3 linked regions of the Elephas maximus indicus genome follow. The protein of the gene in region 1 interacts with the protein of each later gene in a biochemical or structural test. Links are inferred from orthologs where the notes say so. Each region holds a gene or a part of one and is shown in the gene's direction. Other genes may lie near its edges. The genes, in order: MBP, CDK9 and TLK1.

Region 1 (3,743 bases):
TAAACTAGTTTTTCTTTTTTTTTTTATCTACTCTGCTTGTCCGGAAACCCTGGTGGTGTAGTGGTTAAGTGCTACGGCTGCTAACCAAAGGGTCGGCAGTTTCAATCCACCCGGCGCTCCTTGGAAACTCTACGGGGCAGTTCTACTCTATCCTATAGGGTCACTGTGAGTCGGAATTGGCTCGACGGCACTGGGTTTCGTTTTTGTGTTTTATCTCCTTGTCTTAGAATTATCATCAGCACATTAACACTGTTGGTGGGTCCTCAGGGTCCTGGGGGAGGTTCGGTTTGAGTGGGGAGTCCCTGAACCACGGCGAGCGTCTCTGCCTCCGTCGCCTGTGCGTGCAGTGCAGTGCAGCATGGAGGAGATGCCATCTCAGGTCCCTCCAGCCGAGGGGGGCGGCGTGGGACTGGTTTCCAGGCTCAGCCAGAAGGAAAGGTTCAAGTGGTTGCAGTTAGGTCCTGATCTGCTGTGGCCAAAGCCTAGAGTCCCACCCTCCTGGGGCGGGTCCCCCGTGGGTTCTCGTGTCACTGGCGCTCCGAGCGGGCGAGCGCGGCGCAGCGCCGCCACGGGTCCTCGGGCTCGCACAGGGGCGCACTGGGGCGCGGGGAGGTGTCTAGGTGGGGCGCCCGGCGGCAGGCGGTGTTTACCTGGCAGCAGGAAGCAGGGAAGCGGGGGCGGAGAGCGGCGCGGCCTCAGAGTAGGGCCTGTCAGTCTGCGAGCCTCCCGCAGCGAGGACAAGCCTGCGGTCCCGGCGGCCCGTGGCCCGACCCCGGAGAGCGGCGGCCGCCCTGGGACCCGCTGCCCGCGCGGCGCCCAGACCTGGTGCGGGACCGGAGGGGCAGGAGCGCAGCCCGGACCAGCGAGCACAGCCCGGTGGGTGACCGTGAGGACAGAGGCGGCCGGACCCCTTTGTCCCTTTTTTCCCTCGGAGCGGGTGGGGGCCGCGGGGTCCCGGCGGGGTCCGGGCGCGCGGCGCTCACCTGTGCAGGGCCGGGCGAGGGGGCGGCCCTGCGGTGCCGAGCTCAAGCCCCCAACCCCCTGGCCTGGCCAGAGGCGAACCCCCGGGCTGCCATGGGGTCGCGGGCCCGCAGAGGCCTGAGAGGGGAGAGGGCGCTGCGGCTGGGCAGAGTTCAGGGGTGAGAGGGACAAAGGTCACAGGGGCCGCTCTCGGCCAGGGGGAGGGCAGACGGGGGATCCGTACGACATTTAGTGCCTTCAAATTACACACCTGGAGCCGAGCGGACACCCCCTGCCCCCTCCCTGCGCGCGCGCGCGCACACACACACACACACACACACAGGAGGAAGTGTAGTTTCCCTTTGAGGAAGGAGGGCGGCGACACACGTCCCAGTACCCCGCTTCCGCCTTCCTCTGGTCAGTCACCCAGGGCTCCTGGGGCTGGCCCAAGCACCCTGCAGCCCACTTGCAGCCCACCTGCAATCCCATGCGCACGATCTGTCTACCAGTCCCACCGGCAGCCCACCTGCAGGAGTTGCTCTGTTCTTCCTGAGGCAGGCTCGGGGCACCTTCGACGGAGGGCGCCCTCCTGTGCAGGGCTGCCCGTCCTGACCCTGATGCTTTCGGTTTCGGCCACCCCTCGGCTAACCTGTTTGTATGGTGGTCACTCTGCTGACCTGAGGTGGCTCTTGGCCCTCAGGGGTTCTCTTGGTGGCAGCACCTGGTTTCTTAGGGTCCACTTCAGCCTCCATTTCGGAAGGTGGGGTGGGGATGGAGCTCAGTAAGACCCTGGCAGGAATGAGGCCCCTTCCCAGTTCTCTGTTTCCCAGTTGTGACAGTGTGAGAATCAACAACATGTGCTGCTTCTGGGAGCTGGTAAAGCACGTGCAGAAGCAAGTGTGCTGGCAGGCTGCCAGCATCCCTCAGTGGGGCCTGGCTGCTATTGTTGGGTGCTGTCCAGTCGATTCTGACTCATACCAAAAAACCATTGCTATCGAGTTGCTGCTGGCGGGGTTCAAACCGCCGACCTTTCAGTTAGCAGCCCAGTGCTTAACCAGTGAGCCACCAGGAGACCTGGCTACACGTGTGGTCATCGAGTGGATTTTGACTCACAGCAATCCTATAGAGTAGAACTGCCCCAGAGGGTTTCCAAGGCTGTAATCTTTACGAAAGTGGATCACCAGGTCTTTCTCTCATGGATTCGAACGACCAACCTTTGGATTAGCAGCCAAGCACTTAACTATTGCACCACCGGGGGCCTGGCTAGAGACAGGATTTTCCAGGTGATGGGAAAGTCTGGTGGCATAGTGGGTAGGTGCTACCACTCCTAACCAAGAGGTTAGCAGTTCAAATCCTCCAGGCTGTCTTTGGAAACTGTGGGGCAATACTACCCTGTCCTATAGGGTTGCTATGAGTTAGAATCGACTCGACAGCAGTGGGTTTGGTTTTGTGGGGGAAGTCTGGTTTGAGACCCTTGTTTTATAGCATTTTACAGATGACCTCCTACAAGTCAGGGGCCTTCCCTGAACTGGGGCTCCCCCCTCCAGGCCATCACCGAGGGACATTTGGGGTCATGGGACACCCTGGAGAGAGCAGGTCTGGAAAAACAGGACCTGACTTGTCAGGGTACCTATACCATAGTTGTGTGTGTCCCTGGGAGCCAGGGGAAAGTATACTTCAGCAGGTTTGCTTCCGAGTGGGATGAACACAAATCAAGTTAAAAGGCAGGAGAATCGAGTTAAAGCTACTGCAAAACATTGGTTTACAGTCATTCTCAAGAATTAGCTCTTCTGAAATGATTCTTCTTCTTAAGAAGACAAAAGCTCTTTGGTTCAAATCCACCTTGAAAATCTTTCTGAAGCACCGTACTTCTGCCCAGTGACAAGACCAGTTACTCAGTGATTTGGTATTTAATCGCTCCATGGTGACTTTGAACTTCAGTTCTTGCTTCTTGGTGGGTGGTGAGTGTGAGGATGTGTGTTAATCAAAAGCATCTACTGAAAACCGAAAATTGTTGAAATCAACCATTCTCGTTACTTTCGTACTTCTGTTTGAACTTTTAAATGTTAATTGAAGGTTAATTTGATTTTTTCAGTTTTTCTCTAAATTCTTTAAAAATTTAACACATTTAAGATAAGCAGCTGCCTCCATGCCTTCTCTGTTGTTGATGTTAGCTGCTATCGACTTGGCCCTTGACTCGTGGCGACCCCATGTGACAGAGTAGAACTTCCCCGTAGGGTTTTCTTGGCTGTAATCTTTATGGAGCAGATTGCCAGGTCTTTCTCCTGCAGAGCAGCTGGTGGGTTCAAAGTGCCAGCGTTTTGGTTAGCAGCCGAGCACTTAACCATTGTGCCATCAGAGCTCCTTGATACTATCCTATTGCCCGGATCAGTCACAGGAGTCAGCCCAAGGCACGCAATTAGCAAGTGGCAGAGCCAAATTCCTTGCAGGTTTTCACTGCTGCCCTGCACTGCTCTGCGGACTAAGGCCTGCAGAGCACCCTCCGTTTTTTCTGGTTTTAAAGACTACTGCTAATGAAGGATTGCTCCCGCAGACCATGTTTCTTTGTCAGAATGATTAGATCGTGAGGATCTGCTGTATGGCTTGGTTAGGTGTCCTCCCCTCGTAGCCTCAGTTGTCAATAAAGAATAAAAGAGTATATTTTAATTACTCTTACTATAATTTTTAATAAGTAGCCATGAAGCATAAGACATGTCCAGTATAGCCACTTGAGGGAGGTTCAGTCATGCCTGAGCCCCTTGGCCTGGGAGCTGTGTTTGATG
Region 2 (3,743 bases), on another chromosome or scaffold:
ACGGGGGTCCTCAGTAAATGTTAGCTATTTTCATGGGCCCAACCGGCTCTGGCGCAGCACGGATGGGGTGGGGGCGCTGTGATTCTTATTCCTGCCTCCCAGAGAACCAGGGGTACAGGGCCCGAGGCCGGGGCGTTGCTAGCTCGCCGCCTCCAGTGTCGCCGCGCCCCCTGGCGGCCGTCGGTTGCCATGTCAACGACGGGTGGCGGGGGCCGGGGGGGCGGTGGCGGGGGCCGTTCACTCCTCCCAGGGCCGGAGGCCGCTCCCTTGGCGCCTCCCGCCTTCGCCTCTGGCGGGTAACTCCGAGCCGTGAAAGAAGGGGCTCCCCGTCACAGCCTGCCGGGGTGGTAAACTGAGGCACGCGGTGGGCCGCCTCGCAGCCAGGTGTCGGGCGCGGAGCCCCACCTCCGAAAGCGGGGGAGGGGCCGCAGGCGGTGACGCGCCGAGGGCGGCCGGCGGACAGCGGGCGGGCGGGCGGGCGGGCGGCGACAGCGGCGGCGGCGGCAGGTGCGGCCGCGGAGGGTGGGAGGGAGGGGGCGGGTAGAGGGAGAAGGGAGGGCGAGGCCAGGGCACCTCCCCCTTTATAACGCGCCCCCTTCGGGGCTCTCGGGCCGCCTCCTCGTCGGCTCTTTCTGCCTCGCCCCCTAACCCGGACGCCCCGAGCCGGGGCCCGGCCAGGGATCCCCCAGGCCGCGGCTCGGGGACCGCCCCTCCGCTCGCCGCCCCGCGCAGCCCGGCGGAGGCGGTGCCGTCGGAGGAGGAGGAGCAGGGCACTGCGGCTGGCCCCGGATCGGGCGCCAGAGCGGCAAGCAGCTTCGGCAGCAGCAGCGGCCCGGGCCAATGCAGCGGGACGCACCGCTCAGAGCCCCAGCTTCGGCGCCCCGGCTCCCCGCGCCCCCGATCGGGGCCGTTGCCGGCAGTGGCGGCGGCGGCGGCGGCGGCGGCGGGGGCAGCGGCGGCGGCGGCGGCGGCGGCGCCTCTGCAGCTCCAGCTCCCTCTAGCCTCCCGGGAACTACAAGTCCCAGGGGGCCCGGCGGCGGGCGGCGGGCGGAAGAGGCGGGGTCTGTGCCGCGAGGCCGGAAGTGGCCGTGGAGGCGGAAGTGGCGCGGCCGCGGAGGGGCCTGGAGCACAGCAGCAGGTCCAGGAGTGGGAGCGGCGGCGGTGGCTGGAGGTGGTGGCGGCGCGCTGGAGGCGGCCATGGCAAAGCAGTACGACTCAGTGGAGTGCCCCTTTTGTGATGAGGTGTCCAAATATGAGAAGCTCGCCAAAATCGGCCAAGGCACCTTTGGGTAAGACTGGGCCCCGAGGGACTGGGGCCCCGGGGCCAGCACTCCCCAGGGCCGACGTGGGAGCGTCGGGAGCTGGGCCTGAGTTGGCTGGGAAGCCGCTGAGTCCCGGGCATGCCCCCTGGTCTCGCAAGGCCGGGCCGCATCCCGCCGGGGCCTGACGGGGCCGGCTGGCGGGGAGGAGCCTGAGGCCTGGGGTGTGGGACGGCGAGGGGTTGCAGAGAGGAACTGGGGAGGAAAGCGGGACCTCCGGAAGGCGCTTGGGTAAAGAGGGGGGACTGAGGGAGGGAAGCGGAGGCCCGGCAAGGGGCCGGAGACCCAGGCCGGTGAGGTGGCCGAGTGCCGGGTGCCCGGCCGAGCCCCGCCCGGGAGTCTCCCTGTCCCTGCCACACTTCCTCTCGTGGGGGAGGGGCGAGCCCTGCGGAAACTGCCTCATCAGCCCTCAGTGTCCCCTCTCGGCCTGCAGGGAGGTGTTTAAGGCCAAGCATCGCAAGACCGGCCAGAAGGTGGCCCTGAAGAAGGTGCTGATGGAGAACGAGAAGGAGGGGGTAAGTGCGGCCCGCCAGCATCACAGAGCAGCGGGTTTGGGTTTCCAGCCTGCTTTTTCCAGGAGTCTCCTGCTGAGGTTGAATTTTTGTTAGTAGTTTCGGAAATTGGCACATTTCAGGGAATTTGGCCTCGAAATTAAGTCTTTTAATTAAAATATCTTAAACATTTGTTTAAGTAGGGCTGAGTCCAGGAGGGGGAGCTCATGCTTGCACTGCATGCACTTTGGTTCAGAGTTTAGAAGCTTTAAAAATTGTTTTCTTTAGTATATGATTTTGTTTAATGTAAAAAATGTATGCATATGGCTTTAAAAAGTGAGTAATATTCAAAGAAGTGTGTTGGAAAGGAGCATCCCACCCAATCTTAGCTCTCATCCCACTCCCCAGAAACCAAGTTCTCATCAAAGATGTTTTAAGGTTATTTTTGTGACCACAGAGCAAGTTAAACACAGGCATAGAGCTAACACATGAAAATAGCAGGAGACAATAGCGTATATAGTGATGAATAGTAAAGAATTTGTGTAAAATAAGGGTATTAAGTTCATTGTCTCAAACCAGCTCTTTGAGGTGTGCATGCTATTATCATACCCCTTTTACAGATAAGGGATCTGAGTGAGCTTATATCAGAGCCCATGTTCTTAACTCTGTCTTTCAATCTGTATGCCTTAGTAGAGACCCCAGGACCAGTTCCTTGGCCCGCAGCTCTCTGACTCACTTTTGACCTCTTATCGTCTTTTTTCCCCCCAGTTTCCCATCACAGCCCTACGGGAAATCAAGATTCTCCAACTTCTGAAACATGAGAATGTGGTCAACTTGATTGAGATCTGTCGAACCAAAGGTATGTTTGGATCTCATCCTTCGTTTTTAGATGGAGAAAGTGGGGCTTATAGCCTAAGGTTTTGTTTGTAAAGTTAGAACTGGAGGGCCTTAAAATGCTTCTTCTTAGGCAGTGGTGATTGCTTTCTTTGGTTCTCTCTCGTCGTAGCTGGTTCTTCCCCAGGGCCTACCACACCACCTGGCCCAGGGAAGCACTCAACATATATTTTGCCAGCGAAGGAATGAATAAATGGATGCTCTGGAGGACATGGGTGGTCCATGGATTAGAGGGAGTAGGAGCTGGTTATGGGGAAATGGGTTGCATATGGGATTTTTGACTCTTCTTCCTGTCCTTCACCCCAATTCTTTCCATCTCAGCATCTCCCTATAACCGTTGCAAGGGCAGTATATACCTTGTGTTTGACTTCTGCGAGCATGACCTTGCTGGGCTGCTGAGTAATGTCTTAGTCAAGTTCACACTGTCTGAGATCAAGAAGGTCATGCAGATGCTGCTCAATGGCCTGTACTACATCCACAGAAACAAGGTAGGGGCCGGCGGAGGAGAGAGAGACTAAGGCCTTTGCTCCCACTGTGGGATGGTTGTGGCCAGAGGATCCAGGGGAGCCTGGCTGAGCCTGCACTCCTGTCTTTCCTGCAGATCCTGCACAGGGACATGAAAGCAGCTAATGTGCTCATCACCCGTGATGGGGTCCTGAAGCTGGCAGATTTTGGGCTGGCCCGGGCCTTCAGCCTGGCCAAGAACAGCCAGCCCAACCGCTACACCAACCGTGTGGTGACGCTCTGGTACCGGCCCCCGGAGCTATTGCTCGGTGAGGACCCCCGAGCGGGCAGAGGGGGGCAGGGGCCAGGCACCTGCCCAACCCCAGCCCCTCACTGCCGTGGCTTCCTGAGCTGTCGGCCCTGGGGCATTGCATCTCAGGAGGCCCTTGGGCTCAAGGGGCCCTCCTGGTGCGCTCTTCTTCCCAGGGGAGCGGGACTACGGCCCCCCCATTGACCTGTGGGGCGCTGGGTGCATCATGGCAGAGATGTGGACCCGCAGCCCTATCATGCAGGGCAACACCGAGCAGCACCAGCT
Region 3 (3,743 bases), on another chromosome or scaffold:
GATTTTCTAGTCAGAGCTGGGGGAAAAATAGAAACAAATTGGAACTTTCTAGAAACATGCCCTTTCTACACGATGAACACTGGGTAATTTTCCTAAATATGTGAATTCAGCGTTAAAAATTTTCTATTTAGATTTTCCACTTACGGTTTCAAAACAAAAAGAACTGCTATGCCACATGTACGGTCTACAATACCGGTAGTGATTTTCAATTCCTTTACTAAAGATTTTTTTTTTTTTTAAGAAAACATTCAGAAAGTTTATATCGCAACATCCCCCTCCCCAACTTATTTCCTCAGTTCTTTTATTCGGTAATTACTCCCATTCTGCAGAGTGGGAGACGCACACAGGTTTTTTGCACAGTACAGAAGAGCAAGACAGAAGCAACTTTCAACTTTTCAGTTCCATCTTGAAAAACGATGACTTCTAACCACGGAGAAGCGACAGTCGAGCAAGAGCAGAAGCATTCCTCCCCAGGCTGGGTGTGGGTCGGGAGCCAGGCGCGCTTCCGCGGGAGAGGGGGAGTCAGGTGGCAGGGGCGCGGGAGCCGGAGCTGCGCGGAGGGGGCGCGTGCGGGGCGCGCCTCCCTCCGGCCGGCGCGGGGAGGGCGGCCCGCGCACGCGAGTCCGTCGGCCCGGGGCTCCCGCGCTGCGATCCGCGGGCGCGCCGGGGGCGCCCCCTCGGCCGCGTCTCCTCCCTCGCGCGCTCGCTCCCTCCTCACACCCCCGCCCCCAGGCTCTGGCAGGTCCCTCCCCCATGCCTGCTCCGGCGGCCGCCGCCGCTACCGGAGGCGCAGGAGCCTCGCGATAGTGTTTGCACAGGCGGCGCGTGACGCCGCCGCCGCCGCCTCCTGTAACTGATGCAGAGGTTACCCTGCCGCCGCCGCCTCAGCCGCCACCCACCGTCCGCTGCCGCCGCCACCCAGGCGACGCCGGGGGCCGACGCACTGCAGAGGTGCCGGCAGGTTCCGCCCGCGGAAGTCTCCTCGGCCGGCGCTGCCCGCGCTCCGCCCGCGCTTCGACCCCAGCCCGGCGGGCGCCCCCTCGACGCCCTTACCGCGGCGCTCCTTCCCTCCGCCTCTTCTCCGGCGCGCCCGCCCGCTCCTTCTCTTCTCCCCCTTTTCCTCCTCCCAGTCCCCTCTCCTCCCCTCACCTCTTCCCTTTCCACCTCCCCCCTGCTCGGTTTCCTTCCCCCATCCCCTTGACTCTCCCCTCCCTGCCCTCACTCTCTCCCTCGCCCTCAGCGCGGCCCCCGCCATGACGGAGGCGGGTGCCGGTGCCGTTGCCACTGCTGCTGTCTCGGGGGCAGAGTCGGGTTCCCAGAAAGTAGCTTGATGAGTGTCCAAAGTAGCAGTGGAAGTTTGGAGGGGCCGCCATCTTGGTCCCAGCTCTCCACGTCTCCAACCCCGGGCTCGGCGGCGGCGGCCAGGTCCCTGCTGAATCACACGCCGCCATCCGGGAGGCCCAGGGAAGGTAAGCACCGCCGCGCCCGCTCGCGGGCCCCCTTCCCGCGCCACGGCCCCCGCGCCCTCGGGTCTCCTCTCCTCGACCCTGGGGTGGGGGATGGTGGCGAGGTGGCCGCGAGGCCGCCGGGCTCCGGGGAGGTAGTGCGCTGGCTGTGGGTGGTGGTTCACGGGTGGCGGAGGAGACGAGCGAGGGGGTGCGGGCTGGTGGGGACGGGGCGAGGCGCACAGACTCGTCTGGCTTCCTAAGAGCCCGTCGTGCGAGGGTGGGAAGCCTCCCTCCGGACGCGAGTCCCTTTCTGCCCCCTTTCCTAGTACACTCCATACGTTTAACCTCCTGGCCTCCTCTGTCTCTGGTGGGTTTTCCCTCCCGTTGGAGCATTCATCCTCGCGAGCCCCCTCCCATTCGCCCTCGCACTCCTCCCACAGAGGCGGTCCCGTGGCTCCGCAAGCTTTGCTGCCCGGGACCTGGATGCACTTCGTTTGCAGGGTCTCTTCTCTTTAGGGAGAGACGCTGAAATTATTGTCTAGGCAGACTTTGATCCCCTGCCCTAGAGCAATTTAAACGACAGTGTGACTCGTGGGCAGGTTCTTAAATCACCCCTCCAGATGGTTGCAACTTTCTCTCCTTCGCCATCACCTTCTGCGTGTTTGTGCGTTCTCTCTCTTCTGCAAGTAGACTACTGTTCTTCTCTGACAGGGTCGTGGGTTTTGTGGGAAATATCTGCGTAAAGGTTACTGCAAACACGCACCAGATCGGTTACGATTGTTTTCTAAGTTTTCTGGCTTCTTGCATGAAAGTGTGCTGCCACCAGATGTAGCAGTTACACAGCTAGTAAGACACCGGAGTGCTTTTGGCTAAAATTTCAACTTGCTGTGTTTAACTTTAAGTATACGACACAAAATGAAATTCAGGAGAACGCTCATTTATGGGGGAAGAGTAAATGTGCATGGAATCGCGTTTAACGCTCTTTGTCTGGAAAATGTTTAGCGGTATTCATCAGCAGTTGGTAAACGGGTTGTTCAGTCCCAGTTGTCTCATGCAAGATTGTAGCCACATTTTCACAAGAAGAAAAAAAAAAAAAACGTGTGGAAGTCAGTCTAATGGATCTTTTAAAGAAAGCAGGAGCATCAATTTATGTAGAAATCGATGGGTTTAATTTATTTTGAAAATATCACTCAATATTTATTACTCATAGCCTTGACAGTTGTTAATCTAGTGTTTTGTGCCCTGAATCCAGCGGTTCAGGCGTAGCATTCTTTGTCATTTTGTTCCTGTGAGCATGTGTGAAAGTGACAATAGGCTCAAAGATTGGCATGAATTTGCTCTAGAAAATTCGTGGGAAGGTTTGATTTATGGCATCCATTAAACATGCTGAATATATTGACAGACATTTTTCCCTTTCATTTTGCTCTCAACACTGAGTTCTGGTTATTAATAAAAGTTTATTTATTGACTCACTCAAATTTAGTATCTGGTGATCTTTGTGCACTTGAAAAATTTTAAATGAATATTTTAAAAGGTATTTTGTAAACGGAACAGTTGGGTGCTTTTAGCATGCTTTTACTTCGTAATTTCATTAAGGTGCTTACTGGTAGTGTTGTGAGTTGAGAAAGACCATTTTATTTTATTTTTTAAAGGTGTTTTATCATTCATTCCTCAATTGTTGAGCCATTATTGTAAGCCAGTCCCTGTACTAGATACTGAGGGTATATGATTATGTCTGTTATTGTCTGTTGTTCATCTGTTGACATTGGTTATCAGTGTTAGTAATTTGGGGGCCACGAAATCTAGATTGAGTTTCTGAAGTTACTTCAACTCTAGTTAAAAATTTCTTTATCTGTACTATTCTGCACTTTTCCTGATATTTGAAAGTTTTGAAGGGTTAGAATAATTAACCTGGACTTTGAAATAACCAGAATTTTCCAGCAGTTTAGATTACCGTAGATTTTTGTGTAACCTAAAATAGGGAATCTGTTAATTAATACGAAAGTAGGATGTGTTTTGTGAAAGTTATATTTCATATCAAGTCCCTGCGTGTGGTCTCTCTCTGACCAACCAGCATGTAGATTAAAAACTGAGTTAACCAGTTGCTATCAAAATCAGTTCGAACTCAGGGCAACCCCACGTGTGTCTGAATAGAACCTGTGCTCCATAGGGTTTTCAGTGGCTGATTTTTCAGAAATAGATTGCCAGGCCTTTCTTCTGAGGCACCTCTGGGTAGACTCCAACCTCTCTGAAACCAGTTGCTATCAAGTCAGTTTCAACTCATGGCCACCCCAT

Evidence for each region.
Region 2: of the proteins of MBP (region 1) and CDK9, one has a biochemical effect on the other in vitro, tested with the Homo sapiens proteins (2 studies listed by BioGRID). The link is inferred for Elephas maximus indicus from reciprocal best matches to the Homo sapiens genes MBP and CDK9.
Region 3: the proteins of MBP (region 1) and TLK1 form a complex in vitro, tested with the Homo sapiens proteins (2 studies listed by BioGRID, with this or other methods). The link is inferred for Elephas maximus indicus from reciprocal best matches to the Homo sapiens genes MBP and TLK1.

What each region holds. Positions count from the first base shown.
Region 1 is NC_064829.1:84,281,267-84,285,009, reverse strand, and holds the start of MBP (myelin basic protein), read left to right. Parts: upstream 1-788; 5' UTR 789-876; intron 877-1,486; exon of another isoform or gene 1,487-1,830; intron 1,831-3,743. UniProt on the Homo sapiens protein: The classic group of MBP isoforms (isoform 4-isoform 14) are with PLP the most abundant protein components of the myelin membrane in the CNS. They have a role in both its formation and stabilization.
Region 2 is NC_064827.1:78,877,015-78,880,757, forward strand, and holds the start of CDK9 (cyclin-dependent kinase 9), read left to right. Parts: upstream 1-976; 5' UTR 977-1,197; coding exon 1,198-1,289; intron 1,290-1,752; coding exon 1,753-1,834; intron 1,835-2,578; coding exon 2,579-2,669; intron 2,670-3,025; coding exon 3,026-3,192; intron 3,193-3,305; coding exon 3,306-3,477; intron 3,478-3,634; coding exon 3,635-3,743. UniProt on the Homo sapiens protein: Protein kinase involved in the regulation of transcription.
Region 3 is NC_064824.1:69,385,185-69,388,927, reverse strand, and holds the start of TLK1 (serine/threonine-protein kinase tousled-like 1), read left to right. Parts: upstream 1-930; 5' UTR 931-1,330; coding exon 1,331-1,469; intron 1,470-3,743. UniProt on the Homo sapiens protein: Rapidly and transiently inhibited by phosphorylation following the generation of DNA double-stranded breaks during S-phase. This is cell cycle checkpoint and ATM-pathway dependent and appears to regulate processes involved in chromatin assembly.